Rhinolophus ferrumequinum: one gene and its partner. The protein of the gene in region 2 purifies or fractionates together with the protein of the main gene of each other region. This does not show direct contact. Links are inferred from orthologs where the notes say so. Each region holds a gene or a part of one and is shown on either strand. Other genes may lie near its edges. The genes, in order: SMARCD3 and DPF2.

Evidence for each region.
Region 1: the proteins of DPF2 (region 2) and SMARCD3 purify together in Homo sapiens (affinity purification with mass spectrometry; 3 studies listed by BioGRID and IntAct, counting the BioPlex papers as one, with this or other methods). This does not show direct contact. The link is inferred for Rhinolophus ferrumequinum from reciprocal best matches to the Homo sapiens genes DPF2 and SMARCD3.

What each region holds. Positions count from the first base shown.
Region 1 is NC_046309.1:3,655,950-3,671,899, reverse strand, and holds the start of SMARCD3 (SWI/SNF-related matrix-associated actin-dependent regulator of chromatin subfamily D member 3), read right to left. Parts: upstream 7,259-15,950; 5' UTR 6,879-7,258; coding exon 6,801-6,878; intron 4,007-6,800; coding exon 3,795-4,006; intron 2,091-3,794; coding exon 2,048-2,090; intron 1,316-2,047; coding exon 1,193-1,315; intron 1,070-1,192; coding exon 947-1,069; intron 712-946; coding exon 616-711; intron 437-615; coding exon 335-436; intron 112-334; coding exon 1-111. UniProt on the Homo sapiens protein: Involved in transcriptional activation and repression of select genes by chromatin remodeling (alteration of DNA-nucleosome topology).
Region 2 is NC_046294.1:6,324,671-6,339,753, forward strand, and holds the start of DPF2 (zinc finger protein ubi-d4), read right to left. Parts: upstream 7,457-15,083; 5' UTR 7,340-7,456; coding exon 7,308-7,339; intron 3,022-7,307; coding exon 2,861-3,021; intron 2,461-2,860; coding exon 2,353-2,460; intron 2,076-2,352; coding exon 1,912-2,075; intron 1,119-1,911; coding exon 1,026-1,118; intron 924-1,025; coding exon 845-923; intron 338-844; coding exon 296-337; intron 1-295. UniProt on the Homo sapiens protein: Plays an active role in transcriptional regulation by binding modified histones H3 and H4. Is a negative regulator of myeloid differentiation of hematopoietic progenitor cells. Might also have a role in the development and maturation of lymphoid cells.

The DNA of each region.
Region 1 (15,950 bases), on a different chromosome or scaffold from region 2:
CAGCCTGTTCGTCTTCACATACTGCCACAGGGCCTGGACGATGGCGGACCGACTCTGTGTGTGCAACCCTAGCAGCCGGGCCAGGCGGGGATCCAGTTTGAACTGGGGAGGCTGCGAAAAGGTGACCATGAAAATGAGAAAGGGAGTGGAAAGAACTCAGGGCCAGGCAGCGTGGGACCAGGGATGGGGCTCCTTGTAAACATGCTTCTGGAAAAGGGGGGTAGGGAGGAGAATGGGGTCTCCTGGGATACGCTCCTGGGAGGCCTGGTCCCACCCTAAGAGAAAGGGTGTGGGGGGCCGAGGGCCTGGTGTGTAGGGGTGGGCTGGCTCGGACCTGGTAGTCCAGCATGAGGAGCAGCGTGCAGCGCACACTCAGGTCCCCTGGCCTCTTCACCTGGAACCCGTCTGTCTCCTGGGTGGTTGGCGTCCGGTGCCACTGTCCAGGGCAGAAGAGCTGGGTCACCTCACGGGCCCATCTGGGCTGGTGGGGCCTGGGGCTCTAGGGGGGTCCCTGATCCAAATCTGTGCAGCTGGTGGGACTGTGGTCTAGATTCTTCAGGGACCGGGGCCTGTGGAAGGGCGGCGATTCTAGGGCCAGAGGAGTCTGGGTCTTACCTCCACGAGGTGGTTGTCAGGCCCATAGAGGTCTTTGTCCAGCTCAATGACCAAACTCTTGAAGAAGGAAGAGAACTTTCGCTTCTGCTTGCTAGGCTGTGGGAGAGGAACAGGGACCGTGGGGGCAGAACAGGGACCGTGGGGGCAGATGAGCGGGGCGTGGGTGGGGCTGGTCGGGTAGAGCAGCAGGCCTCCACAGAGATGTCTCTCTAGGCCACCCAGCCCTGGCCAGGGCTGACTCCTTGACCCTCTCTGCAAACGTCTAGCTCTGTCCTCAGCTCAGCCCCATACCCACCCCAGGACACCTGGAGAGACCTGGGCCAGGACGTACGTCATCCAGGAGCTTCCCCTCCACCCGCAGCTCCCAGGAAGCGATGCTGCCATCAGAATCCTCAGCATCCGGCTTTGCAGGGTTAAAGGTATTGGAGATATAAAGACGCAGCTTCCGCTTTTGCTGTCGAAATAAAGAGTGTCCCACAGAGTGAACAATGGATGCCCCCGCCGCCCCAGGGCAACCCCGCTTCTCCATTCTGGGCACAGGACACAGAGCCCGCTTCCTGTCCCCAAATCAAGGCACCTTCATTGGCCTCTTCAGAGCCTCCTGGATGTCCACCCGCTTCCGCATGATGGTTTGATCCAGTTTCCTCTCAAACGCCAGGAGGTCCATGTAAGCCTGGGACTCGGGGACCAGCTCCCGGATCTGGAAGAGGAGGAGCGAGGCAGGGAACCAGGGGCTCAACCAATCTTGCAGGTGGAATGTGTGCGTGTCATGTGACCCCAGGGTACACAGACGTGGAGGGGAGCTGGCCAGATGCTGGGATTTTGTGAGAATGGGACCTCTCCCTAGGATTCTGACTCAGCAGTCGCCACCTCGACGTGTAGGAATAAACATTGCTTCTCCCTCTAGAGGGACCCATCCATGTCATCACTAGAGAAGGCTGGAGCCACCATGGAGCCCAGCAAACTCTGAGGCTTCACCTCATCTTGTCCTTTCCTTTGTCACACAGCCTCTGGGCTTCCCTTGGGTGTCTGCGAAGTGGTTAGGACCTCGGGGTCCCTGAGACGGGCTCTGTGGTTGCTTGCCTTTACGTGGCACCTCACCCAGTCATTGCAACTGATGTCTCAACCGAGCTACCCCCCCACCGCACTCAGTATGTCTTCAGACCGCAGTAGTTCAGTGCACAGCTCCCCAGGCCCAGGATGCGCCCCCTTTCTGGCTCCACTCCTTCCCTCCACCCCACCCCCTCCCTCTGACCTAAGGAGCCTCACTTCTTAATTAGCTTTTTAAACAAAAAGTGAAAGTGACTGTTCCACTGAAGCTGTCTTCCTGAGGGGGGAGGGTTGGTGACCAGGGTGGGAGGGGTGGGGGAGAGGAGAGCAGAGCAGCAAGGGGCGGGGGGGTGGGCTGGGGGCTGCTGTGAAAGGCACTCACCCTTTGAGGGAGGATTTTGTCAGCCATCTTCCTCCTCTTGGCACTGTACATTTTTTAAAGAAAAAACCAGGTTACCATGGCGACAGATCTGGGAGTAACGAGGCCACCTGCTAAATTATCCCAACATCTCCCCCCCGCCTGGCTGGGGTTCCCACAGCCGGCTAGTCTGCCCACCCAAGGGGCTATGCCAGTGGTGTGTGGCATTGGCGCTCTGTCCTGTCGCCGAGAGCAGAGGTGACCCCGTTCTTTCTCTGGCCTGGGAGCCCCCTTCTGCCCCACCACATTGTCAGGGCCAGAGATATGTAGATTTAAGAGGGGATGGGGGCGGTGGAGCTGCCAAGTGTTTGAGGAAAGCTGGGGAGGAGGGAGGACAGGCAAGGAAGGAGGGTGGCTTCTGAGGACTTTCCTGTGCTAAGCAGGGGTGCACCCCCTAAGGTGGCCTGAGCCCAGAGGGAGGGAAGCTGACCCTGTCCCACTCTGACCCCTGGGGCAGGAGGTGACAGTATGAAGTTGGTGAGGATTGTACCACTGCTACCCGGGGCTTGGAAGGAGACGCTGACACGCAGGGTACTCTACCTTGGCCCACCTGCCAACAGGGCCCAGAGAGACACCCATAGGGACCCAGAGAGTGTGTGTGGATGTTCTCCTGTGGGACGTGACCATGGGCTGGATCTGGACTCTTCCTGACCTTGTAGCTGCTTCTGACTCCCGAAAGCACCCCAGAAAATCCTTGGTGAACTGAGATTAGAACCCAGCCTAGAGGATGGCTCTATACTGCCCCCATGTGGTGTTCTCAACCACTGCCCCTCCCTGTCCAAAAATCCACGGCTAGGCAAGGAGCTTTCATTAAAGGTCTGACTTGTTTTGAGTAAATTATCTATGTGACACTCTCCATTTATACAAGATAAATCAGTGACTTGTTTACTGTATAACAGCACGATTCACTTTGTAAAAGAATTCATAGTATTCCTATAAACGGGATTTTCCTTGATGTGTAAAAAATACTTAATAATGAGGTACAATCCACATTACACTTTTTATAGGACCCCATCTGGTGTGCAAAGGGAAGCATGTGTGTGTGGCTAAGTAGTGAAACCCAAAGGGGCATGTCTCTTGTCAGGCACCAGCAGGGGTTTTGGGGGTACCATCATTTGGTTCCCATAAGGAAATGGGCTGGCCCCTGGTGGCTTGGGGGCCGACCTGAGCCCGAGCAGATCATGACAGCTCTTTAATCTTTGAGTGCCTAACAATCACCTGAAAGCAGGACTGAGCACAGACCCCACACACACACCCACGTAGGGCAAATTCCCAGGCTCCACCCCCCTGGTCAGTGATTCAGATTTCCAAGACCTGGAGTCCCGGGGCTTTTAAACAGTCAAGCCAGGGGATTCTGGGGAGGGTGCAGCCGACAACCACACTTTGAGAAACACAGTCCCAAAGCTCTGCCCTCAGCCCTTCTGCCAGTCCACCCACCCCAAAGACTGAAGCGTCACCCAGAACCTGGGGACAAGGGGTAGAGGGTCGAGCAGGTGACAAGGAGAAGGACGCGACGGCCGCGGCCTGTCTATGGTGGGCACACAAAGAAAGCACAGCAGTGGCCCCTCAGCCCACCTCCCAGGACGGTATCCCACCCAGGACGACTCATTCCTCGCTGCTCATTCCTCCTCGCCTCTGCCAATCCCGCTCCTCGCCCACCGGGTCCCTGCGGGTCTTGCGGCCCGCCCCCTCCGCGCTGGGTCCCACTCACCTGCGGCTCCGCGCGGGGGCGGTGGGCACCGGCTGGCCCTGGCTCTGGGCCTGGCTCTGGCCGGGCGGGGGCGCTGCTCGCTTGCGGGCGGGCTCCATGCCCGCGGGGGCCAGGCCGGGTCGCACGGCGGGGCTGCCCATGTACGGGGAGCCCGGGGGGCCCATGGGCGCCCCCTGGTGGGGCATCCGGGCTCCAGACGGCATCCCGGGGCGCTGAGGCGAGGGGGTGGGGGGCGGGGGGTGAAGCAGAAACAGGAGCCCGCGGGTCAGACCAGGGCCCCGCTCCAAACGCGGTGAGCCGCGTCTCCCCCACCCCAAAACCCCGGCTGGTGACCCTGATGCTGCCGGCGTGAGCAAGGGGTGGGAAGGGTGGGGGCGCCGGAACCGCGCGGCTTTGGCGGAGGGGCTTTGCGTCTCGCTGCAGGAAGCTAACTGAAGCCAGGCAATTGCACAGGGCATTGCCAGCGTCGGATTTGCGGAAGGTACCGCGAAAATGAATATTAATGGCTCCTTTCAACCTTTTCAAAGGATGTGCACATTCACACGCTCCTCTGCAAGACAGATTAAGCAGGTCCTTCCATCCCACTTGACAGATGAGGCAACCGTGGCTCAAGGAGAAAAGCGACCTAGCCAAGGTCACGCAGCTCCTGGCAAAGGCAGCCCTGAGCGGCTGGTTCCTGAGAAGCCAGGGCTTTCTGCTGTCTGCTACTTCCCCTAGGTTGGGGCTGAGCTCCCAGCTGGGACTCCTGCGCTCCTCTTCCCATTCCCTGCTTCCCAATCCACTTCCTGGGCCGCCCTGCCTTGCATTCTCCCTCCCCATCGCACCCCACGCTTCTCTCTGGGCGCCTACTTTTGAACTCTCAGCCCCCACCCCTACTGGCTTTGGCTGATTCCAAGCCCCCAGAACCAGGGGCTTCTCTGACTCGGCTCACTCCCATAATTTGCTCCCAAGGTAGAGGCTAGAGGTGGGGCTGGAGACAACCTGAGGGGCTGAGGTCAAACCCCACCAAGACTCTCTGATTGGGAGGAGGGGCGGGGGGGGGGCGGGGGGAGGAGCCACCTGGAGGTGAACTGCCCAGAGGGCTTGGGTAGGTCAAAAGCAGCTGCATTTCCTCTTAGATCCATCTCTCCCTTCCTGCTGTCCACCTGGTTCACCAGAGATGGTCCCATCCACAGACCTCCTCTACTTCCCACCTCACCCCAATGAGGTCACCAGTCAGGGTTCAAAGGGGGTCATGGAGAGGAGATGAGGCAGGTGTATTCCCTTGACACTACCCAGGTGCTCAGAGGGGATGCAGATGAGATGCAAATTCATCAAGTGAGGTGTTCCACAGACTTTTTAAACCCCACTTGTCCAAATTCTAGAAGAAGGGATAGGAGAGGACCTGAGTGGCTCTAAAGTGGAGGGTGGGTAAGATGGGGTCTGGGGCAGGGACAGCAGGAAGGAGATTAGGGAGCAAGGGATGCAGACCCTGTGTCCCCATTATCATTTAAACACTACCCCTTTACCCCTAGGATTGCAGCTGCCCCCAGACATGAGGAGCCCTGACCCTGAGCCCGGTGAATGCCTTCTATCTGCCAACTCTCCCTCCCGCCTTACAGTTTGTCTAACCCTAACCCCCAGCCAGCCAGCTGTCTCTGTCCATCTCTCCCACAGTGAAACTTGCCTGTCCATGTGTCTTCCACCCCCCGCCCACCTGACCCTGTCACTCACACCTCTAGGATGGTGGCCCAGAATGGAGCTCAGGTCCCATCATTCCCCACTGGCATAGATGGGGCCCTGGGAGTGGGCAGTGAGGCCCACAGCCACCCAAGAATTGAAGCTCTAAGTTGGCCAAATAAAAAATTCATATGTACAGCATCTCTCCTTCCTAGATGGGCCTTTTTAAAGGGAATCCCACCCAAGCAGCAAAGTTAGGACTGGTCACTCGGCTGACCAACACAGACACCCCTGGGAAATTACTCCAAAGATCCTCCGGGCTGGAGGACAGGCCACCCCAAATAAGCCCATTTTCCTTATCAGCTGCTGTATGATATATCAAGGCCAGCGATACTGGTGGATCTGCTGAAGAGGCCCCAGGGAGCTGTGGCAGCTACCAGGGCCACCCCCAATGAAGGGCCAGGATGCAAGGGATTCTGGCCTCCCTCACCGAGAATGTGCCTTCCTTGGGGTCACAACCAAATTTGGCCAGAGGAAACCTGACTGCTTCCACTATGCCAACCCCAGCACCCATCCCAAGTCCTAGCGTCCCTGCTTCTCCCACTCCCCTCCAACCTGGCCCAGCTGCCTCCCAGACCCTCAGCAAGTCCTGGACAGTGCTGTCCTTCCCCTTCGGTCTCTAGGCCTCGCGTCCCTGACTCCAGCCCTTCCTTCACACCTTTGAGGTATTAAGGACAGCGGTTTTGGTGGCTGAGTCCGCCAAGGGGATCCTCAGACCTCTTACTTTGGGGTCTGTCCCTACAGAGAGCCTCTCTCTGACCCTGATGTCAGAGGCCATCAGCAAAGCCCCCGAGCCTTCCTGACTGGATGTAGAGGTTGTTCAGCCAGAGAGCTTCCTGCTCTCAGCCCTCCAGGGGTCACCTGCTCCTTGCTCCTGAGACACAGAGAGAGACACTCTCCCAACGATGAACAGACAGCCCAGCCCATGCCATGTCCCCCACCCCCACCCCCATGGCAGGGTCAACACCTGGGCCCACAAGGGAAAGAACCGAGGAAAATACGACTGGTACAGATGGGACCCCCCCACTTGGGGGGGACAGTCCCCAAGTCCCACCCACAGCCCCTGACAAGAACCCATGCGAACGCCTCCCTTCCCTGCCAGGGCACCCATCTCCTGCCGGCCGCCTGACGACGTGTTCGGGGGCCAGGGCGCCGGCACAGTCCTGGGGCTGGGCCGCGGGACGTGGTGCCCTGGCTAGCGAGCCCCCTCCCGGCCCCTCCCAATCATCCCTCCATTCAGCCCGAGCCAGCTCGCTCACCCTCCCCCGCTAACTTTCCCCCACTCACCACCCCATGGACCAGAAACTCAAAAAGTTTGCTTTTCGTGGCTTTGCGCGCCCCTCCGGCAACTTCGTCCGCGGCCATCGGGGTGGGCTCAGCGGCTCCTCTCACTCTCTCTCTCTCTTCCTCTTTCTTTCCCTTTTCTGCCTTTTTTTTTCCTCCAACTCTCCCCTCTGAGTCCTGCTGGGCTCTCTCACACTTCTACTCGAGCGGAGTGGGGAGGGGGCCCCGTCAGGGCTGCCCCGACGGCCCACGGCCCACGCCGCCGCCGCCGCCGCGGCTGCCGCATTCCTGCACTGATAAGACAGAAATAGTCCGGCGGCCCGGGGTCTGCCTGTTGACTCGGCGGGGACAAAAAAGCCTGCCTTTCCAACCCTCGCTGTCCAAACAGCGCAGATAAGCCGCAAGGCACGCCGGCAAGCCGGCTCCTGGGCGCTGGGCAGCGGCACTGCAGCCGAGGCCGCCCGAGGGCCGCGGGAGGCGGTGCGGGGAGGGGACGCGAGGGGAGGTGGCAGGGGGCTCGCCGGCCACCCGGCTCTTGCCACAAATAGTTTCTCGGTTAGGGAATCCGCCGGCAGGGCCAGGCAGGGAACAGTCAGTTCCAACTTTGCCCCAAGTGGCTCCTGCTGCATTTCTGAGGCCCTTTCCCCAGAGACCTGGCAGGCCAAGTAGGGAAACATTCGCTGGAAGGAATGGGGGGAGCCGGAGCTGGGACGAGGCCTTCCTCCCACCGGCGGCAGTGGTGGGTGTGCCGGGGAGGCGGTGTCCCCCTGCGTTCACAGATGTGTGCGCCCTTGTCTCGCCGGCCGAGTGTGTCTCCATCCTTGTGTGGGCACGGCGGTGGCTGTGGGTGTGGATGTTTACGTGCGTGCACAGACAAACGCCTTCTCTGTGTGCCTCCCTCCACGGGAGCCTCGGGTGCGCGCGTGTGGGTGCGTGTCTTCCAGCTCCGTGTGAGTCTATTTCTGGGTCTGTGAGTCTTTGTCTCTATGTGAGAAAGTGAGGGCAATAGGGGATGTACTTTGGAAAGAGGGAGGTGGATCAGGCTCATGAGAACAGGAAGAGAAAAATGTGGGGGAAGGCAAGGAGCTGGGGTGGGTGCTTCGGTGGATGGGTGGACAGAATGAGGCAAGCAGGGCCTGATGGCCTTGGAATAGGGTGTGGGGTGGGAGACCTAGAGGAGCTGGGGCTCCTGGGGATAGTGGGGCCAGCCTCAAGACCCCAAAGAGCACTGGGGTAGGGGAGGAGGTGTGAGGGAGCCTCAGAAACGCGATGTGGAGGTAGCTGGCAGCCCAGGGTGAAGGAAAGACAGGAAACAGGAGGAGCAAGTCCTGAGATCCCCAAGCTTGGAGCCCTGGACCTGCCCATGCCCCTAAAGACCACACCCCTCTGTCCTCCTTTGGGGACAACCGTGGGTCAAGCTTATAGGCCTCCTGGGGCTGCACTGTCAGAATCCAGGTGGTGGTGGTGGGGCAATGCCAGGGGTAATTTGTAGGAAAACTTATTTGAGGTTAGGCCTGAAAGACCCAGCATTGCCCTGGGGGTCCTTGCCCTCAACCCTTCAAAATGCCTTCAGAGGTCAGGACAAAGAATTGAGGCAGTGTTCTGCCTGGGGAGGCCATTCTGCCTGCAGCCCGGTTTCCCTTGAGCCCTGGTGTGCTCCCTGGCCATGTAAGGGCCCTCAGTGAATCTTCTGAAAGGCCAGAGGGGGCATGTGGTCCAGGGTGCCCCTCCTCTACCTCCCTCCTGCTCCCTTAGCAGGGGACCTAGAGATCCCCTTTCTACCAAATTTCTACCTGGGCCTTAGCCCAGACCCACACACACAAAGGCTGGGCACTGGAGTGGCACTGAGGATGGTTGGGTGGTTGGCATAAGCCATGACGGTGGCTGTGATTGCTGGCAACCTGGGGAGGTAATCTCTCCAGTCTGTCCACTAATCTCCAAAACAAAACTCCTCACTTATTCCCATTTCTAAGCCTCTGCTCCAGATATTCTTTTGCCTGGAATGCCCTCTACTGCCCATCTACCTGCCCAGATCATATTCATCCTTTAAAACCCAGCTCAGGCCTCCTCCAGAAAGCCTTCCCTGGTCCCACTTGTGTGCACAGATCTTTCTCTTATCTGAATGCCGACTGCCACCTATCCTGAGCCATAAATTGGCACTGGGCTGACTCATGTCTGATATGCTTTGTGCTTCAGGTGTGGTAGGTCTGGTTTCCCAAATCGGCTGTGGCCCCCTGAGTGGCCTTTACATCCCACTCCCCCCTCATGCCTGGACACAGGGAGTCCACATGACCAAAGGTCTGCTAATACTTGCAACCGCCCACAGCTCAGTGGGCCAGTGGATGGAGCTCATAGTCTGCCACTTACCTGAAGGTGGGAGTCACCACGGCACCCCCACCCCCTGTGGGTGCTTCTCATATGGCCCTGTGAAACTACAGGCCTTGGAGGTTCTAGAGGGCTGGGGCAGGGGTACACTCCCCTAGCTTTGTGTGAAGCACAGAGTTCTCAACTCTTGGATAGGCCTTTTGGAAAAAGAAGACAGCAGAGGAGACAGATGGGCACCCCAGCTTGGGTAGCTGGTAAGTTTGAGGGTGGAACCCTCCCAGCGTTTGTGAGGGAGGTGGTGCTGGTGGTAGAGTTTGCAGGAGGGGTGTAGACCAAGGGCTATGGTGAAACCAGGAGCTGGTGAGAATCACTCAAGTCCATAGATAACCCCCTCCTGAGACCCCCCCAGGACCAGGGCCTCCCCTGCAGCCACCCCCCTGGGAGACATCCTTATGCAGCACCTAATGCATACATGCCCCGCCCCCTCCCCCCAATGCAAACACCAGGGGACAGGAGCCACCCGGCTCGGCACTCACGGGCACACTTTAACCAACTCCACATCCCACTCATAAGGCCAGACTCACAAGGCACCCGCCCGCAGTCCCGTTTGCATGCCGACTTTACAGGGGCGACCTCAGGGGTGTGGTCACGGGGGAGCCTTCGGGCTAGAAAGCAGAGGCGGGAGTGTGGGTGCCCGGCCAGGACTCCCACCTCACAAAGGCCAGGATCCCCAACGGCTCAGCTCCCATACGGCGGGCGCTCAGCAGTGCCCCGCCACCGGCTCCTGCCGGGTGGGAAGGAGGCCCCGGGTATGCCCCATTCCAGCGGGCAGGGGGCCTTAGTCCCAGTCCCCTTAGCCTCGGCCGACCCGGCCCAGGGCGCGCTCTGGCCAGGCCATGTGCGTGTCTGGGTGGAGGGCGGCCGCCAGGCGCCCGGAGCCGGAGTCCCCCCTGCCGTCCCCCCATCTCTCCTTCCCTCGCCGAAGCACCACCGGCACCAAATGGCAAAGCGCCGCTCCCCGCGCAGGGAGAGATGCGCCGCGGCCGGCGGGACAGGCTCGGCAGCCCCCCCACCGCGCCGAGCGCCGGGGGCACGTCCCGGCCCGCGACCGCCCTCCCTCGCCCGGCCGCCCGGGCCCCGGCAGCGGTGGGAGCCGGGCAGTAACCGGGCCGGGCATGCGCACTGCGGCCTCCCTCCCGGTGAAGGTCAGCCCAGGGCCTAGCTGCAGGACTCGGAGTGGCAGGGGGAGGCGGAGGAGGGAGGGATGCAGCGAGGAGACTTAACTCCTTCCCTGCGGGAAGATGGTCACCGAGGCTGGGGCCGGAACCCGGAGTCCCACCCTCCCCACCTTCTGTGGAAGTCCTATTGCGGGGACCCTGCTCGGGGGAGGAGCAGGAGGGGAGTAAGAGGAGAGAATGGAAGAAGGAAGCTAGGAGGAGAGAGGGAAGCTGGGAAGGGGAGAGGGAGGAAGGCAGGGGAGGAACAAAGGAAAGCCAGCTGAAGGGAGAGACCTCTGCACTGCCCGGTTTTTCCTCTATTCCCAGCAAGAAAGCTTTCCTTGGCGAAACGGAATTACCTTCGTGGATTGGCGTGTGTGTTTGTGTGTTGAGAGAGAGAGAGAGAGAGAGAAAGAGAGAGAGAGGGAAGCTCTCAGGCTAAGGACCCCTGATTTCAGTGATCTGGCCCATCCCTAAAGCCAGCCCCCATTTTCCCCTCTGATCACTAAACCCCAGGGCAAGCCAGGGGGCCCAGAGGCGGCTCTGCCCCAGCCTAAGTCCTGGGACACCAGGGAACCCTGGCTAGCCAATGGGGCCAGGCCCAGCGCCCAGAGATGACTGGAGGGGAGTCTGTCCCTTAACCCCCACCTCTAGTGAGGGGCTTCCTCCAGCCAGCAGAAAGGACATTGGCAGAACAGACCAGAGGCTTGGTGGCACGGACTTCCTCCACCCCACCCCTCACTACTTCCCAGGCCAGAGCAGCACCGGGTCTCTTCCTCTTTGTGGGAGAATGTTTCTGGGTCCAGGACCCTCTGCTACTATGGAGGGGGCTGTCTATTCCTCTGTGAGACTTCGCCTTTCTGTGTCAGTTTTGCAAACACACAAGAGAAACACGTATGATAGAAAGAAGTAAAAAACAAAGGAAAAATAGGACACCAAAATAGTTGTGTGACCTTGGGCAAGTCGCTGTTCCTCCCTGTCCCTTAGCTTCCTCAGGAGTAAAAGAAGGGCCTTCCTGCCCTGAAATCCAAGGATTCCATAAGACAGAGACAGGAACCAAGGCAGACACAGAGAAGCAGGCCCACGCCCAGTCAGAGGGTGCTGCGAACCCAAGGTGAAGCCTGGTCCCTTGTCACACATACGTCCAATGCTGTCAGCTTCCTGTGAGCAGGGCCCCCTTGCGGCCCCCAGGGGCCTGCATAGTAAGCAGGTGCAGGATAAAGCGTAGTTGGAAACCTTCTTTGCTTGGGTGGGTTTCCTCAGTCTAATGGGGGCTCTATGACACCCCCCCCCCCCCCCCCCCCCCCGCCCTCACACACACCTCACACACAGTAAGTGCAAACAGAGGATGCTCTAACTGCCAGTCCTGGGAGGAGAGAGGAGCTGGGGCTCTGGGGCCCTGAGCATGCGCAGGCCTAGAGGTTACGCACATTTTAGATTCACCGCCAGTTTTCGCTCACTCCCCTCATGGCCGCCATTCATTAGGCAGTGTCTTGTAGCAGTTCACGCCCAACAGCTTGTGGCTGTGTGCCAAAAGGAGCCACACTGGCCTGGTCCCCATTTTGGCAAGGATGGGAACAGACACTGGTCCAGTTCTCACTGTGTTCATGGCCTGGGGAGCTTCAGGGCAGCCGCGCGCGGCTTCTTGAGAACACCAAGCTCTGCTCACGGCCTGCTACATGGTCCTAGGAATGCTACCTCCTCCCCGTGTGCTGTGTCCTCATCTGTGAAATGAGATGCTGCTGCTTTACTGCTGACCTCCGGAAGGCCCGAAGGGCCTTGGCTGGCAGTGCCAGGGGAAGGACAGGGTGCTGTCCCCCCTTGCCAGGCCTCGAGCCTGGGCCCTGGCTCCCTCGTCCTCCCTGGGCTGGGAAGGCCTTTGGCTGTACTTCAGTCTCCTGGTGGCATATGTCCTGCCCTTCACCTGGGAAGCTTCCGAGGCCTCAGCTACTGCTCTGACCAGGTGGTCAGAGCGATTTCTGCCAACCCCTACATTCTGAGGTCTGGGATATCAGCTGAGGGAAGAAAACTGAATAGAGAAAAGAATTCCTCTGCATTTCCTTGAAGACATTTTTTGGGGAAATTAAACCAAAGGGCAGCTGGCAGTGGACCGTATAGATAGTATATCCAGGGAAACAACACAGGGACCTGGCCTCCCAGATGTCTTCAACTCCATCCAGAGTCAAGGATGAGTTCTGCTCAGTCACAGGATCTGAAACGCATTTTCTCCCCTTCACCGACAGGGCCCGGGGAGCCCTGCCCTCTCTTCTCCTAACCTCGCAAGCTGCCTCTCTGCCACCTCTGCCTTGGTGCACCTGCCTGTCACATGCCCTTCTTTCATGACTGTGTCAGGTGCGATGGAAAGCCCAGACTCCCCTCAACTCCTGCACTGTCAGCTCCACAGGCTCCATGTCCCCCTCTGCTTCTCTCACCTCCCACCGACCTAAACCCTCTGTGTGTCTGTCATAAATAAAATTCCCAATCCACGTGGCCACTTCTGTGAACATCGCTTTGGCTTGCTTGCAACAGAAGCTATGCTCCACCCCCAAGGATGATTTTCCCAGAGCCCCCCTACCACTGGCCTTGCCCTGGCAGGTGGCTTTGCATCTTACCCACATACACAGTACCTTCATTTCTTGAGGATTCCAGCTCCTGGCTCACTGTCACTCCCGCCAACACGACTCCTATCTACTTCCTACTGCTTTTCAGGATTCTCACGGGCTTGGTTCCCTGGCGACCTCTCCTGCGGTGATCCTTCCCCCTCCGTCCACCACAACTCCAGTCATCTCTTGGACCTCGTCATTCCAGCAACTGCAGCCCCCACCCTCAAACTCAGTCTAATGCACCCCATTCTTTGACCACTACCTCCTTTCCTTACAGCTCACTCTGTCCAGTGCCTTGACCCCCAAAAGACTGTGACTCCACTGCAATCTCTTACTTGGACCTGTACCCCTCATCACACCTACCCACTCTTTTTAAGCCATGGTAAAAGAGACGTAACACGAAAGTTACCATGTTAACCTCCCCTGCATATATTCTGGACTCTCTTACTTAAGAGTTAAATCCAGCTTCACCAACTCCTCGCCTGCACCCAGCGCCTGAATGTGGCAGGAGAAAGACACTCAGTCGTCCTGACCTGGTCTCCCTGGCGCTTCAGGAGCACAGACTTCACCTGCCTGACCTCCCTCTCTTTCCGCTGCCCTCTTCCACTTGAGTTTTCCACGTCTTCCTCCTCCAACTTCCAACTCCTTCCCCTCCTCACTCCCAACTGGTGCCCTTGCTTCTCGCTTCACTGAGAAAAGGGAAGCTTCCAACGACCTTCCAGAGACTCCCACCCGTCCTCCTGCCTCCCAGCAGCTCTCTCCCGTGTTCCTACAGCTAAGTTATCTGTGCGCTGGTCCACAGCCCATCCTCTTGTGTCCTGCCTCCCGTCACCTCTCCCGCCCTCAAGGACTTTGCTCCAGCAACCCTCTCCCTCACCACCAACGGTCAGCTTTCCCCTGGCTACTGGATTCCTCCTGTGAGCACACGAAGTCCCATCATTGTCCCCCATCGGTTACGGCCCAGTTGCAACTAAACTTCTAAAAAGACTTGTCTCTATTTACTGCCTTCACTTCCCCAGAAACCCCAATTCCTTTAGGGGCACATCCCACCGCTGCCAGCCTGGAAATGCTCCTGTCACGGCCACCAGTGAGTTCAGCCCATACTGCCAAACGCTGAGACATCATCTTGCTTAAACAGCTGCAGCGTTTGACACAGTTGACCACTCTCTCCTTTCGGACCTACTCTCTTCCCTTGGCTGTAGGACGTTTCTCTTTCTGGGCTTTCCTCTTGGGTCCTTTGCTGCCCCTTCTCACCTCCTGGGCTGTCCAGCTCTTCTTTCCGTTCAGTTGGGGCACCTCAGCGCTCGGTCCTTGGTCCTCTTCACTGTTCCACAATCACCTGGTTGGCGACTTCATCTGTCATCCAGTCTCAGAGCTTTAAATACCATCTCTATGTTGACAGCTCCCAAAGTTTTCCTCCAGCGCAATCCTCTCTCCCAGCCCTGAGACTCCTACATCCAACTGTCTACTCAGCATTTCCACCTGAATCTTTCATCGATGGCTCCAACTTCATACGCCCACAACAAAACTCCTGCTCCTCTGCCTCAAATGTGGCCTCTCCTTCTCACCGTCCTCACCCTCCTTCAGATTGCTTGGGCCCACAACCTCGGAATGACCCTGGAATCCTGCCTCTCTCTCACGTCCCACATCCAATCTGAAGGCAAGTCCTGTTGCCTCTTGATCCGGAATCCAACCCCTTCTCACCTCGCACAGCTCCCACCCTGGTGCAATTGGTGAATATGAACTAGCTTGCTTCCGACCTGCCCCCAGCAGTTTATTCTCAACATGGCAACCAGAGCGATCCTTTAAAAAGGGGAGTCAGATCACATTATTTCTCTGTTTGAAACCCTCCCAAAGCCCCCCATCTTATTCCAAGTAAGGGCCACGCTCCCGCGGGTCCCAGGACCCAATCCCCTCGCCACTGCCTGCTCCCTCTGTGGCCTCAGCTCCCGCCACTCCCTCACTCTTCTCTCTTGCCCAGCCTCTGGCCTCCTAGTGGTTCCTCAGAAACTCCAGGCACTCGCCAGCCTGGGGGCTTTGGGCCTTCTGTTCCCTCTTTGAAACACCCGTCTACCAGCTACCTGCGTGGCTAGGGCCCTGAAATCTTGTTCACATGTCTCCTTCTCAAAGGGGCAAACTCTGTCCACGCTATTAAAATTGCAGCCCTCTGTCCACTCCACACACCTTATCTCGCTTATTCTGCTTCATTTCCCCATAGCACTGTACACCTTCCACCATTCTATATAATCTACTTACTTATTATGTTAGTGTTTAACTGCTCCGTTCCCCTGTTCGAATGTAAGCTCCAAAAAGACTCTTTTATGTCTTTTCATGGATAAATCCCAAGCATCTGGCACCTGGTAGAGACCGTGATATCTCAGAGGGAGAGAGAGCACCCACGCCAAGTCAGCTGGGGATTTCTCACGCGCTTCCAAATGCCGGATGATGTTACAATCTGTGCTCATGTTATCGTAGGATTGATAACAATAGCAACAGCTTAGGTTTGTATACGACTTTACTGTTGACCAAGCACTTTCACCACAGTCACTGGCCTAATCCTGACAGAGACCCGACCAGGTAGCGGGGAGGCTTCCCATTCTAAAGATAAGGAAAAGGAGGCCTGGAGAAGCCATGTGACTTGCCAAAAGTCACTGTGCTGTCATGAAGTAGGGCTGGGACTGCAAACCAGTCTCCCGATTCAAGGCCCCGGGTTTTCTCCTTTATTCCAAGCTGCCTCCCTAACATGCCCTTGCGTAATGCCTGACAGATAGAAATACTTACACACACACACACACACACATACACACAGGCCCTTACACCTGTCTTTTAAAGAAGGACATCAAGATCCCCAGAGGCCTGTATATTTAAGCTGATTTACCCTCAATTACCTTTTGAAATAAACCCCCCAAAAAATCTCAAGCAGATTGTTTCAAACATTGGGAATACAAATTCCAGAAAATTTGCTATTAAGGTGTCTAAAATAAATTTCAGTAGGTTCCTTTAGATCC
Region 2 (15,083 bases):
TGGGGAAGGGGGGAGGAGAGGGATCTGTTTGGAACGGGGTCCTTATAATGCTTCTGAAGCCACCCCATGCAGTGGGCCCGAGCAGCCCTAGGAGCAAGTTCCTGGGAGACAAGCAGTGGTAACGGCAGCTCTAGGACTGTGAGGAGTGGAGCACAGCAGAAGGGCCACTGCTCCTATCTCCATGCCATTCCAGACTTTGAAACGAGCATCACAGGAGATGAGAGAGGCAGGAGGGACACGGGAGGAGGGAAAAAGGGACAGGAAAACCAAAAGTCTGAAAAGTTGAGAGAGCTACCTCTCTGGGGCGCTTTCGAGGTATGCTTTTGTTTGAAACTATCTGAAAGACAGAAAGAAAAGTCATGAGAAGAAGGCCTTGATACACTTGAGACAGGAGCAGCAGCAGCAGGAAAGCAGAGCAAACGAGAGAGAAACCCCAGCGGCGATGATGCTCCCAGGGTGGAGGGACAGAAGTGGGGAGTCAGAGCAGAGGGGGAGAGAGAACAGACGTTGAAACACTCGGTGTTGGACTCCTGGGGCCCTGGCTTGATTGGGGCCAGCAGACCTGGGTGCCATCTATCGAGAGGGTGACTGCCTGCTGTGTGCCCCCTCACTGGCACCCCCACCCCAGGGGACAGCAGAAGCCTCTCCCAGAGCATGCAGGTCCCGCCCGGCAGGTAGCAGAGGCCAGGGCCTCCCAGGGGTCTCAGAGGGAAGCAGTCGGCAGGCAGGACGTGTCCAGGCTTGTTTTACCACTCTGAGCAAGAACACAGCCCTCCTTCCTCTCATCGCCTGAGCGGGAGCTGGGTCCAAGGCAAGGCTACCCACCCACTCGGGAGGCACTCACTGTCACAGGCATAGGGCTTGTCCCGGTCCTCCAAGATGGAAGCGTCCAGCTTCTTACGGGCACTGCCCACACCTTTACCCTGTCAAGAAGAGCAAAAGTGGGGCTCATGAAGGTGCCTGGGCCGTGAGGGCAGTTCTCTTGGGAGTGGTGGTTCGTCCCGCGGGCAGCTTGCGGCCCTCACCTTGGCCTTCCCCTTGCCCCGCCGTTTGGGCGTGTCCTCTTCATAATCCTCATCGTCCAGGTCATCCAGGAAGTCCTCCGGCTCCAGGATCCGCTGAGAGGACAGGGGGATGAGGGGGCAGAAGTGACTCCCCCGCAAGGCCACCCACAGCCTCCTCTGGGACCGGGCCTCTGCTCCATCCTCATTCCCCACTGCTGTGTTTCAACAGCCTAGAATCCTGCTCCTCCCGTGTTTTGGGCTCGCCTTCCTCTGTACGGCCCTTCGTGTGGTTCCCCTCGCCCGGAATGCCTTTCCCACCGCCTCCCAGGGCTGAGTCAGATGCCAGGTCACCAGGCAGCACTCCCGGACAGCCCAAGGAGCCTGCCTCTGATTTCCTGCCCCAGGGGCACGCGCAGCGGTGCTTCCCTTCCGGCAGCTCACTTCCTAGATTTGGAGCTTTGCTGCTTAACTGTGTGGCCTTGGGGGAAGTTTCTGTTAATTGCTCTGCTTCAGCCTCCCTGCTGTACAGACTGGAGAAAATGATGGAAAAGCGAGTACAGCGCCTGGAGTATCTTCAGCTTGTTATTTTTATGTATAGTTTTATCGTCCCTGTTGGCAGGGAACAAGGTCTGCTTCATCTATGTAACCCCAGGTACCAAACACCTTTTGTGACAAAGATGAATGAAGGAGAGTCTGCACTTAGGAGGAAAGAAGAGGGAAAGGCTGGATGGTAACAGTGACGCCAGCCAGCACCCAGCGCTAATGAGGGAATGAGGCAGGAACAGAACTCCAGGGGCCAGCCTCCTGGCCCGCAGTGTCTGCTGCCATTCTGATTACTGGGTGGCCTCTGATGAAGAGGAGGCTGGATTTCATCAAAGCTCCCTTAGCCAGAGTGTTAACCTTGTACCTTCCTTGCTCGACTGTTGGTCACAGGAAACTCGCCCAGGCTGTCATCATCAACTCGGGGATCTGGGGCGCCTCGCTTCTCCAGGGGGTCGGTGCGCAACAGAGCCTCTAAACTACTGCCGTCTTGAGAGATGAGCCCCTCCTTTTTCAGGGTCTGGTCTGTGTCTGCAGGCAAGGTCAGGGTGAGGCGAGGCTCAGAGGGGTCTGCACCGTGCTAGGCCAGCCACCGTCTTCTGGTCTCTGGCTGCCCAGGAACCCAGAAGCCCTTGTTCACCTGGCGCCACAGCTTATCTGTTGACCTCTCTCTTTTATTAGACTGAGTTCTTTGAAGAAAGGATCACATCTGATTCATTTTAGTATCTTCAGGCTCTAGCTCTGAAGATTAGCAGGCCTCTGATCATGCAGCAGGCCATGCACCTGCTCAGGGAGGCGTGTGCTTTACCTGGTTTAATAGACGGGAAAGAAAGTCTTGGGTCCTCAGGAGGGTGAGCTCGCCGCTTTTTCCGCCAGCGCCGGGCAGGGTAGGAGTACAGCTGCCCAGAGGCCAAACCTGTGGAAAGAAGAGAGGGAAGTTAAGCCATAACCCAGCTAGAAAATAGTATCAAACACTTTCTAGATGAGTAGGCCCCACTTGAGTTCTAGCGCAAAAAAGGAATATGGGCAATGCTGGGGGCGGGGGTGTGGGTGGGATAGTTTATGGAAAAGAAAAATTAACTCAGGGGCCTTGGCTAATACACAGCTTTTCAGAAGCCCAATAACAGCCTCAGCAGGGCAGCCCTGCAGAAAACCAAAATGCCGGTATGAATCTGCTTCTTCCTCCCTGGGCTTCTAATCATGGGAAGATCACATCCATCCACAGGTGGAAAGCAGGAGGGAAAACCCTCTCAGCTGCCTCACCCCTAATACGAGGAGGCTTCTTCCTCCTCGCGCTCCTGAGTCAGGACCCTCACCTGGACCCCGGTGTCGCTTTTCCATCCAGATATAACAGTTGCTCTGAGCTACTCCGGTCTGTGAGTCCAAGAAGGGCAGGCGCACACTGCGCTCAGCACAGAGGCGGGCATTGTAATTGTGGCACTGCTCCATGGCATCTTTGTAGTACTGCTCCCCAAGGCTGCAGGAAAGACAAAAACCAGGTGTGCGTGTATGTGCTGGGGCTGGGGGCAGGGCACAGGGCGCTGAACTATTCCTCTCCTTTGCCATCTGCTTCTCTACTAGGCTCAAGGGATCGGGAGACTGCTGCGTTGGCTCTAGTTGCCTCCATTTCTGCCTCATGGGACGCCAAGCCCCTTCACTAAGCCATTATGAGAAAAGACACTTTACAAATAAATTACCGTCAGGAACGCATGACTTCATCATTTGTCTAATCAGACGTTAAGTCTAACCCACAAAGAAGAAACGAATGTTCATTCTGTGTCTCTCCTGAGTTCAAACTCTGGCTACTCGAGATGCTATTTCGCTTAACCCTTGTGACTCTGAGAAGCAGTGGTTAGCTCCTATTTACAACAGAAGAAGCATTCAACAAGGTCTGGGGGACTTTACTAAAATAGTCAGCAAACTGTATATCCATACAATACAGTATATCCATACAATGAAATTCTATTTAGCCATAAAAAAAGGAGGAAGCTCTTCATGTACTGATATTAAACAATATCCAAGATATCTAGGGAAAAAAAAAGCAGTACAGTGCTGAGAATACTACCATTTATGGAACAAAGAGGTGGAAAAGAAACTATATGCCTCCAGGGAGAAAAAACAGGTGACGTGGGTACTTTCTCCTACATGCTTTTATGTCTTTTGAATTTTGAACTAGGTACTTAGCCAATTAATTAATTCTATATACTAATTTTATAGTCAATGGAAAACATCTGAAAATACCTGGAATTCCTTGAAGACTACTCTTTACTAAGTACCATTACACCAATACTAAACGTGTTTTCTCAAAGGCCCATCCCAGGCTCTTCCTTTTCACACCATCAAATTACAGTGGTACCTCGGTTTTCGAGCGTAATCCGTTCCGGAAGACCGTTCAAGTTCTGAAACATTCGAAAACCGAGGTGCGGTTTCCCCATAGAAAGTAATGCAAAATGGATTAATCCGTTGCAGACCTTTAAAATCAACCCCTAAAACTGCAAATTTAGCAGTTTTTTTTATCTAATGATAGTAAAAATGAATTTAGAAAAATTTAGCAGTTTTTCTTTACTATCTAATGATACCATAGATCCATAAAATTTACGGCGTTCGTAAACCGAAATGTTCATCAACGGAGACGTTCGAAAACCGAGGTACCACTGTATATAGGAAAGAATTTTGGACTCAAAAGACTCAATTTGAAATCTCAATCAAGGGTAAATCTTTAAGTGCTCTAAGAAGCTGGAAAACTGCACAGTGCCAGGAGTTATCTGGTTCTAAGTGTGTATATAGAACCAATCTTGTTCTCAGGGCTTAACAAACACTTTAGCACTGGAGCTTAAACTATAACAATTCGTATTTATATATTTGATAATCTTAAACAAAGGGCAGAGGCAATTTCTTTCCCACAGTATTCCCAGTACCCATGAAGGTAAGGTGTCTGGGGCATCTTGATTTGACTTAGGAGTAAGAAGACCTGGCTTGGATGAAAGTCACCAAATAAACACGCACAGGTATAGACTGGGGAGGTTGGATTAGATAAGTTCTAACATATTCTATGAGAGGGAGACCCCTTGCATGAGAAGCTGGACAGAGTAAGTCTGTGTGGCTTATGTACGTAACTTGAGCTACACCAACAAACTCTTCTCTGGAATCAGAGGGGAGCTTTCATTGAGCAGCCACAATAGATCACTTAGGTACAGCTTAGCAAGTTCCTAGCAAATGAAAAAACACACCACACACAAGGTGGTGACACCACAAGATAGCCTGGTTTGATTCAATGAGCTGTAATCCCTGTGATTTGAGGCAGCATGAATCCTGTGTTGGCGAGTGGAGAGCACAGAACAGGCTCACCTTGGCTTGCCTTTAGGAGGCAGCCATGTCCTCCTAACACAGAAAAATCGGATAAACAAGGTTGAGAGCAGCAGCTACTTTGTTTCTGCTGATGGGAATTGATACTGACATTGGAAGTCAAATGGAAGGAAGGGCCAGATGGGCTGAGAGCTGCAAGGAACAGCTTGGGGGGGAATGGAGAGTAAAGTTCTTGTGAGTTAAGGGGAATTTCAGAAGGTGAGGCAAACTGTCCCATGAGTAAGAGAGCTGGGACTGAAACACAAATTGGGGGGAGAGAGGATCTGATGGAGAGAGAGCAAGAGAGAATGAGAGAGCTCTTGAAGAAATGAAGGATCCTATCCCAAAAAATTCAAGCTGACATTATTCTCTAGATCTTGTTATCTAATCAGAAGGTATCAAAATTAGTCAGCAGCCACAGCTATTTAGTACTCTTATTTTACCTTAGTAAGACACCTTAAAGACTGTTTCAATTCTGATACCACATTTGGGAGGGACAGAGAATTTACAAATAGGGCAATTCTTCTCCCAAAACAGATGGAAGTCAGAAAAGATGAGCTGGTAGTCCTGACCTCGATGAATACAACCTCAGCTGTCAGAAGACGAGACACACCACGATCAAGAGAGCAACAGAAAAACATCTCACAGGGTGAGAGTGGTACAGGAATGAAAGCCTCTTCTTAAAGGGAAAGTTCTGTAGGAAAATGTATTCATTGTGATCCACAGCCCTCTGCAACTACAATTGAGGAGAAAGTTGGTTTCTCATTACTGGTACTCAGGAACCAGTGGCTGGTGACCCTCACAATCTCTATAGCTCTTTAAAGAGAAATAAGAAATCTTGCTCTATTTAATCGGGCAACTCCCCACTTCTAACACTACACAAAAGGGCTGGCGATCCTATTTCCCGGAAGAAAGTCTTCCTTCATAAAAAAATCTCATTACATAACACTCTCAAAACCTAGGCCAGTCGGACATTCTTCCAGTGTAGTAAGATTTGCGAGGTAGAAGCTTTGATTCTTTTTCAGGAAGCATGAAACCTGTGTAAAACCTCCCCTTACAATGGGGTGGGGGGAGTCAACAAAGAGAAAGGCAGGGAAACAAAGAAAGAACATCTGAGTCAGGAAGAAGAACTATATAAATGGTAGATTATTTCTAAATTGAGGGAAATGTCAGCCTGAAGAGAGAGCTGAGGAAACTGGAGTGGGCAGATCACAGAGAAAGATAACAGTGATGGGAGGAGGGATGGCTGAAAAAAGGCAGCAGGATAGAGCTGAAAGCAAATTTAAAAAAAAAAAAAAGAAAAAAACCACAAGAGGAGAAGGCACTTAGCTTAATGGAAGTGGGAAAGCTTTCTCAAAGAAAAGGCTCCAGGCAGGGGAGGCGGGGAGAAGCAATGTACCTTATAAAAGGCTCTTGGGAAGAGTGGGACTCAGCCCACCACAAAGACAAATGAGAAGCTTTAGAATAGTTCCCAAACCTTTACCTTGTCATCCAGTCAAAATCCGAAAGCCCTGGCTGGACAACTAGACACCTCTCAACGTACCTACCCCTGCACCAAGCCCAATTAACAGGAGCTTGTTCTATTGGCCCAACGGGGCACGAACCCATTTCAAAACCCATTCAGATTCTTCGTCAGGGAGGAGGCTGTATTAAATCAACTCCCAAAGCATCTCGAACTCATAGCTAACAGGCCATTTCCCCAACAACCATTAACTTTAACTTTGCTCGAAATCTGCCCAGCACAAGAGTATTGCCGCCCTCGATGCGCCTCCAGCTGCAAAGGCATCCTGCCGTCCAGCTCCCGTGTTTTGATGTCTGGGACTGGCCAGCTCAAAGGCCTTCTCCCCTGAAGTTCTTTCCCTTCTGTATCTGCTCAACAAATTCTTCCCGAGAATATTTTTGGTCTTGAATACCTGCTACCTAAGACACCCCCCACCCCACACACACACACGCCGCGGGGCTGCCCCGCGGTGCTTAACCGCGTGGAGGTGCCGCGCCTGTTGCTCCAGGGCCGCTTAGTCGACCGGGAGGGGTCGGTGGCCGGCCTTCGCGGGGACACTGGTCGTTCCCGGGTCCGCCCTCCGCCGGGTTCCTCCGGACTGCGGCGTCTCGGAAGGGACCCCGGAACTGTGTCTCTCGTACGCAACAAGGGAGCCATAATCTGGAAACCGTAAGCCTCACACAGCCCAGGGAAGCTGCCCGTCAGGAGCTCCCGTGTGCCCCCCTCAGGGCCTCCACAAGTTTCCAAAGAAGCGCAACGTCTTCTCCGGAGTCTCCTGTTGCCCTCCACAGCAGGAGTCGCAACATGGCCTTCCCCGGCACGTCCCTCTCTTCGCCTCGTCCATTCCCGCCCAGCCCCCTCCTCCCAGGCCCCTTACAAGACCTCCCGGCCTAGGAGAGAAAGAAATGACCACTCACAGCTTCACTACATTTTCCACCACGGCCGCCATCTTCCCTGCTCCTTTCCCTCAGGCCGGGAGGCCCGGAGCCTGCAGCGCGCAGGCGCCGGGACCTAACGGGGGGGACCTAGTTTCCTTGTCCCTCTGCGCAGGCGCCGCCCGAGCGCGCGCGCGTTCCAGAGCGAGCGGCGGAGAACCCGCTTGGCGCCCGCTCCCGCGGCCGGAGAGCCGAGGAGCCCGACGCGCAGGCGCGATGGGTACGGGCGCGCGCCCCAGCCTCCTGCTTGAGCCCTGCGTCTTCCATTTGGAGGAGCGGGAGCGGGATTTACCCTGGTCCAGAAAGGAGAAGGCGAGAGGTTGGTGAAACTGGCAGGCCCAGAGGTGGGCTAGATGGAGTGCATGCGTCCTGCAACCTCGCTCATCTTTAATCTCGTGCTTAACTCTTTGCTCTCAGTCACAGGTGGGTAGCGGAAGGTAAGAGTGGTGCATAGTTCACTTGGGCCGCCAGACATACTATTCCCATTTTAGGGAGAGGAAAATTAATGCCTAGAACTGGGCAGTTCTTTGGCCTAAATATTGGGGTCTGATAAAGTTATCTTCCTGCCACCAAACTCACCCACCAACTGCACTGGTACCCATCTCTTCTCCCTTGCTTCTTACTCCTATCTAAGCTCCTTCCCTCCACTTAGGTTTTGAAGAACTTCCTTCCTGCAACTGTTCTTCTCTCATCTGTACAATTAATTTCTCCCTCACTGTTGAGCCATGCAAATTCGTGTACAAACATGGCTTAATATTCTCTTTAAAAGAAAGCGAAGCTCTTCCTTAAGTCCATGTCTTCATTTATCACCCTATTTCTTTTTACCTTTTCATAGCAAGTGTTCTGTTTATATTCCCTATCTCTGTTGACTTATTTCCAAGTCTTTCTGCCCAATTTAATGGGGATGTTTCCCCCCACCAGTTCACTTGAAATAGCCCCTAACAAAAATCAACAGACTTAGAGATCTCCTCTGTCCCCAACAGCCTGTCAACCCCATGACACAAGTGACCACCAGTCTCTCCCTTACCACGTTTCTGAGGCATGCACCTGGCTGTCCTCCTGTCACACTGTCAGTTCCTTCAGCCTTTTCTGGCTCTCCGACGTCTGTTCCACCTGTAACTGTCAGAGTCTCCAGGGCTTGGTCTTTTGTCCCTGTCATATACCTTATTTCATCATTTCCAAGATGCACATATTCCATGTCCTCTCTCCCCCCCATTTTAATAATTCAGAATCAGGGCACATCTTACCATCACTGTGCCTTAAAATCGTGTTTGGCAGATGACAGTTGAGAGGTATGTGTCATTGTCTGCCTTCCATCAAACTTGCACAATAGGTGTCAGCAGCCTGGAAGAAAAACCAGAGATAATACTGGTGCACTCTTTTACCCCTGGGAACTGAATGATTGGGAGGACAAAAGGTGTCAGAGGTGACTCCAATGCGAGAGTCAGAAAGATGTGTTATGGTCTAAATGTCCTCCCGCCAAAAAAAAAAAATTCACGTTGAAGCCCTAACCCCCAATGTGATGGTTTTTGAAGGTGGGGCCTTTGGGAGGTAATTAGGGTGAGGTGAGGTCATGAGGGTGGGGCCCTCATGATGGGATTAGTGTCCTTGTAAGAAGATGGATCTCTCTTCACGAGGAAAGCCTTGTGAGGACACAGCCAGAAGGCAGATGTCTACAAGGCAGGAAGTGGGCTCTCACCAGGAACTAAATCTGTCGCCACGTTGATCTTGAGCCTCCAGAACTGGGAGGAATAAATGTCTGTTGTTGAAGCCACCTAGTCTATGGTATGTTGTTACAGCAGCCTGAGCCAACAAAAGCAGTGTGCTAGCTCTAAAGCTGAACACTCACATACTCTGATCCAGAATTTCCATGTGTGGATCTATATACCAAAAAGCACGTACAAGAATGTTTACATTAATTGTAATAGCCCCAAACTGGAAACATCCCAAATGCCCACGACAGTTAGAATGGATTAAACAACAATAAAGAGAATAAACTATTGCTACAGAACATGAATGAATCTCAAAAACTGAATATTGAGTTGAAGAAGTCAGTTTTAAAAGAGGACATCTTGTATGATTCCATTTATATAAAGTCACATACACAGACACACTAATCTATGGGGATAGAAGTCAGCAGAGCGGTTACCTTTAGAGGACAGTGGCAAGGAGAGGGCAGGAGGTGGCTGCCGAGGTGCTAGTAATATTTTTTTTATTCACCTGGGTAGTAGTTACACAGGTTTGTCACTTTGTAAAAATGAATTGAACTACACAAGATTTGTGCACTTCTCTGTATGTATAGTCAGTAAAAATTTTAAAATAAAAAATTAGTAATACTAAGGAGGCTAGTTCTGTACAATCGGAAAGGCAGTTTATGAGCCCAGCACCAATGGCTTTCAGGTCTTGTAGGATTCTTTTTTAAGAAATCACTGAACAGTAGATACCCTACATGTTCTGAGCAGTGACCAGTGACGAGTATATAGTGTTTCTCTTACAGACAGGAACCAAGGAGTGGAAGTGGGGGTGCAGCCGCTTGCCATCTCAACTAATGACCCTTTTGCAAAATGTTTCCTGTTCCTGCGACTCGGCTTTTGCTGATCTAGAGCCGTGAGGACCGAAGAGAAATGCTTCCTCCAGAGGCACAATAAGGATTTCTCTAAATTAGGAGCTGAGCCTGCCGGTGGGTCGTTTTGTATTCCACATCCACTGGGCAAGAAGGTGAAAAGCGGGTAGCACTGTTGGCTGGGGTGATTGATTCTTATTATCAAGGGGTAATAGGATTGCTATTCCCCAGTGGGGGCAGGGAGAACTAGAAATGAAACCTAGGGGATCTTCTTAATGTTACATTCAGGTAGTTAATGGGAGACAGGCTCCTGGTTAGGTATTTAATTCCCACTAAGACAAACTAAATATCAGAGAAAGGGAAAAAAAAAATCTTAAAACCATTCAAAAGCTAATAATATAATGAAAAATTACTGGGCCAACATTTAGGAGGCTGAAATCCAAAGAGGTAAGCCCAGAATTCAAAGCAATTTTTGTCCTGAAGACATTTACTGATCTGGAAGCTATAACTGAAACTGAGCTGTCTTTGGTGGGAGGATCAAAAATCAAAACCCAGAGCCTGCCGGTGGTCAGATATCCCACCACCACGAACACACACACACACACACACACTCACACACACAAGCACGCACATTAAGATGGGACTCCTATTTCTACGGACTAATATCCCAGAATCATATTATCTGGGTGGTTCAGGAAAACTCAAGCCTTGAACTTGGATTAAACTTGGGTTGAACTTGGACCCATCCTTATAATGTTCCTTGTCACTTGGCAAAAGCAAGCATATTTGGTACCAAGCAATATTCTTTCTGAAGGAATGTACTGCCATCCAAGGCCTCAAATTATTTCTAAAACAATTTTTTCAGGTATGATATCCAGTCCAGTCAAAGGTAATCAGGCACACAAAGAAATCTTGCACGAGAACTGATACACACCACAGAAAACACAAAATGATCCACAAAGATTTAAGATACTGGAATTATCTGATAATGACCATAAAATAATACTGCTTACTGTGTTTAAAGAAGGTGAAGACAAGCATAAAAATATCTGCAGGGTACAAGCACCTATTAAGAATTTCTACAACAGAATTTTTAAAGAATCACGTAGAACTTCTTGAACTGAAAAATACAATAACCCAAAGAAAACAACAAGTTGGTTAAAAAGCAGATTACACAGAACTGGAGAACCAGTGAATAGGTAGGAAGAAGTTATCCTTAATACATCACGGAAAGACAAAAGAACAGAAAATACAGGGTTAGCGTAGAAGCATAGAGGATATATAGAGAGCTCTAAGGTACATTTAATTGGAGTCTCAGAGGGTAAGGAGAGAGAAAGGGGCAGAGGCAATATTTAAAGAGCAAATGATAATTTTCCAAAAATAATGAAATACATGAAGCCACAGGTTTAAGAAGTCCAGTAAAGCCCAAGCTAGCTAAAGACTTAATGGAAATACACGCTAGAGTATTTGGAATGAAGTGTCACAATGTCAGCAACTTAACTTTCAAAAGGTTAGGAAAAAACTTGTATGCAGAGATAAAGCAAATGAGGCAAAATGCTAATAAATTGGCAAATCTAGGTGAAGGTAGATGGATCTACATTATACTAGTCTTTCAATATTTCTGTAGTTTTGAAGTTTTTCAAAATAAAAAGTTTGGGGAAAAAGTCAGTTCTATACGGGGAGATTCACTAAGGTGTCAGATTCTTTAAAAATGAGGGTCTGCAACATGTCACCCGGTAAAAAACCCTGAACAGCCAAGATAGAGGCTGAGGTCAAAGGGAACAGAAGCTGGGTAGTGAAAGAGGGAATTGATTGCTACCAGTTCCAGCTTTGTGGGAGAAAAAGTCTGTAGCTTTCTTCGTATATCAAGTATATATTTGATACAGTATTTTAATTCTCCCACTATTCTTTCCCTCCACTCGTCTATAGGGTGTATTGGTGGTAATGAACTTTACAGCGTAGTTTATGGTTTACAAAATATTGAGATGGGCTTGTAAAGGAATGGCAGGAGGAATGGACGTCATCTAGAAATCTTGGACTTGGAAGTAGATGTAGTAATTGGCAAGATTTTGAGTTGTCGCTCTTTGGAAAAAGTGACTGTATTTTTGACAGGAATAGATGCATTCTACTAGGGAGGATATATACTATTTTTAAAGAGTAAATACAGAATAAGGACATCATGAGTGTTGGGCATGTAAAACAGTAGACTGTAGGGACGTTTGTCACTTTATTCAACTTTTCCTATTTGGGAGCATTCCTTTTTGTGGGTGGTGTTTGTAGGACATGGTGCCTGACCACCACTGGACGAGCTGACGAGGGAAAGTTGCTCTCCACCCCAGGTGTAAGCAGGTATCCTGAGAAGTTAATCTGATGTTTCAGGTCTCTTGCTTGTTAGTTCCTTTTCTCCACCCAACATGGCAGCCACTAGTGCTTTCCCAGGGCCTTTGGACTGGAGCTTGATGCGGGGTGAGTGGGGAACAGTTCCAAGGGACGCAAGGCAAGAATGGCCCCCTTTTGTGGCTACTCTGGCTTCAGCTCAGGTCCGGGGTCAGGTGCTGCCTTCCAGCCAGGTGAAGCTCTAAGGAAAGGGTCCTTTTTTCTTGTCTTCCCCTCCCAGGCATGTGGGGGACAAGCCACCCAGATGCTGAGGAGGAGCCTGTAGCAGGCAAGAAAACGCTGGCCCTTCAGCTGCTCACCTTTTGTCTTCACCCTTTACCAGAGTCTGAAGCTGAAGCCCTGTGGGGGAGAGGGTTGCAATCAAGTATAGGTTTTGGGGTCTCACAGACCTGGGTTTAAATCCCACTACAGATAGGGAAGCCCCTAATCTCTAAATGATGGCAAAATTTTCAGATTAAAAACAAAGTTTGGTGGGGATGTAAGATGGTGCAGCTGCTATAGAAAACAATACGGTGGTTCCTTAAGAAATTAAACATAGAACAATACGATCCAGCCCACAAGCATTGAAAGCAAAGACTCAAACAGATATTGAACACCCATGTTCACATCAGTCTTCTTCACAACAGCAAAAAGGTAGAAGAAACTCAGATGTCCATCGATGGATGAATGGATAAACAAAATGGGATGTATATGTGCAATGGACTATTATTCAGCCTTTAAAAAGAAGGAAATTTCAGTACAGGATACAGCATGGATGAACCTTGAAGAGATGATGCTAAATGAAATAAGCCAGTCACAAAAAGACGAGTACTGTCTGATTCCACTCATATTAAGTCCCTAGAGAAGTCAAATTCAGAGACAGTTGCAGGGAGAATGAGGAGTTATTGTTGAATAGATAGGGAGTTTCACTTTGGGGAGATGAAAACCGTTCTGGAGATGGATGGTGATGATGGTTGCTGAATAAAGTGAATGTAATTAATGCCACTGAACCATACACATAAAAATGGTTAAAATGATTGATTTCATGTTATATATATTTTACCACAATAAAAAAAATGCATCACCTGCAAAAAAAAAAAAAAGCTGTGTGGCCCAGCAAAATGTCTCCTGGTCTAATTCTGTCTCTGCCTCCAGTATGAAATTTCTACCTGGAGGCAGGAAAGGTTGGGGGTGAGGTGGGGTCTGGGACTCAGAGGGTCAAAAGGATGGAATAGAACCAACTGAGAATGAAAGGGGACCACTGAGGCCAGCACCGAGCCCCACCTTACGCTTTCCCCTCCTCTCTGTCCCCACTGTTCCCATCTGGTCCGGTCCTCCTCAGCCTGCAAGGGCTTCCTCCTCTTTGATCTCTGGTCCATCTTCCACTTGGCCTCCGTGGTGACCCTTGTAAAACCTGGATCTGGGGTGACCAGTTAGCTCAGTTGGTTAGAGCGTGGTGCTCGTAACACCAAGGTTGCCGGTTCCATCCCTTAATGAGCCATTGTGAGCTGTGCCGTTTAAAAAATAAAAATAAAACCTGGATCTGACCACGTCTCTCTAACTTAAAAATCTTTCAGCAGCTCCCATTGCCTCAGCTGCAGCCAGCAAGCACCCTGTTCTGACTGCAAAATGCTTTCCCAGCTTCCCAGTCCTGCCTTTCCTGAGCCCCCAGTTCCTTTACATGACACCCCATAACCAAACATTATCCCTGGTTTGCTCAACGACCCTACAAGGCAGGTATCGTTGACTCCATTGTAGAGATGGGGAAACTGAGTCTCACACAGGCTAGGTAGGACTTAGAGATCTTTTCACTACATAGCGGCTCCTCTCTGTCACTCACCCTGGTGCCTCAGTACCTTTACTTATGCCTGAGCATATGTCTGTTAGCCCACGTTTGGCTCAGAATCACATCTGATCCCTGAATGTCCCCTGACACCACCCCACCCCTGCCCCAGGTATTCCCAATCACGTTTTCTTCATAGATCAACACCGTTGGAAATCATCTTCCTTGCTTACAAATTTAATATCCTTCCCTCTTAGAATGCAAACTCCAGGAGAGCCGGGATGGCGTCCGTCTGGCATCCCCAGCCCCTAGAGCAGGCCAAGTGCACTGTAGATGCTCAATAAACAGCGCTGATGAGCTGAGTCTGTTGATCAGCACTGTTGGATCCCTCCCAGCCCCCCGCCCTCAGAATCAGGTACAATCTTCCAAAGGGCAGGGCCTGCTCGGCAGAAAGACAAGGGCTGGGGTCTCCCCAAGGGTCAGCCCAGGTGGCAGAGATTGGCCTGTCTTCAGGGCTAAGAGTGTGGGGAGCACAACTATGAGCAGCAAGTTTTATTGCAACCAGAACCCTTGGTCATGTGGGAGGGGATGGGGTAGAGGGACACTGATCACCGATGCCACGCTCCCAGTCCAGGACATGACACCAAAAATCTGGCTGGCTGTGCCCTGCCTCTTCCTCCACCCCTTGATCAGGGCATCTGAGGGACCTGAGGCGGAAGGGAGCTGAAAGGGGAGTCCATTTCAGCATAGCCTTCGTCTGAGGGATCTGAGGGAAGGAGGAGCAGTTGGCAGTGGGGGTCCAGGTAGCCCACGAGGCTCAGGAACCCGTGGGCTGAGTGCTGCATGTGTCCTCGTGGGTTTTAAGGGAAAGCAATGAGGCACATTCTGCCCATGGGGAGAAGGTGGGAGGAAAACAAAGGCTCCAAGTGAGAAATTGCTGGCCAGTGACCACACAGGCGGGCCCTTGGGATCCCGACTTCTAGGCCAGGATCGTGTCCACCCTCTGCCTCTGGTATTCACTAGCCTGGATGCCCAG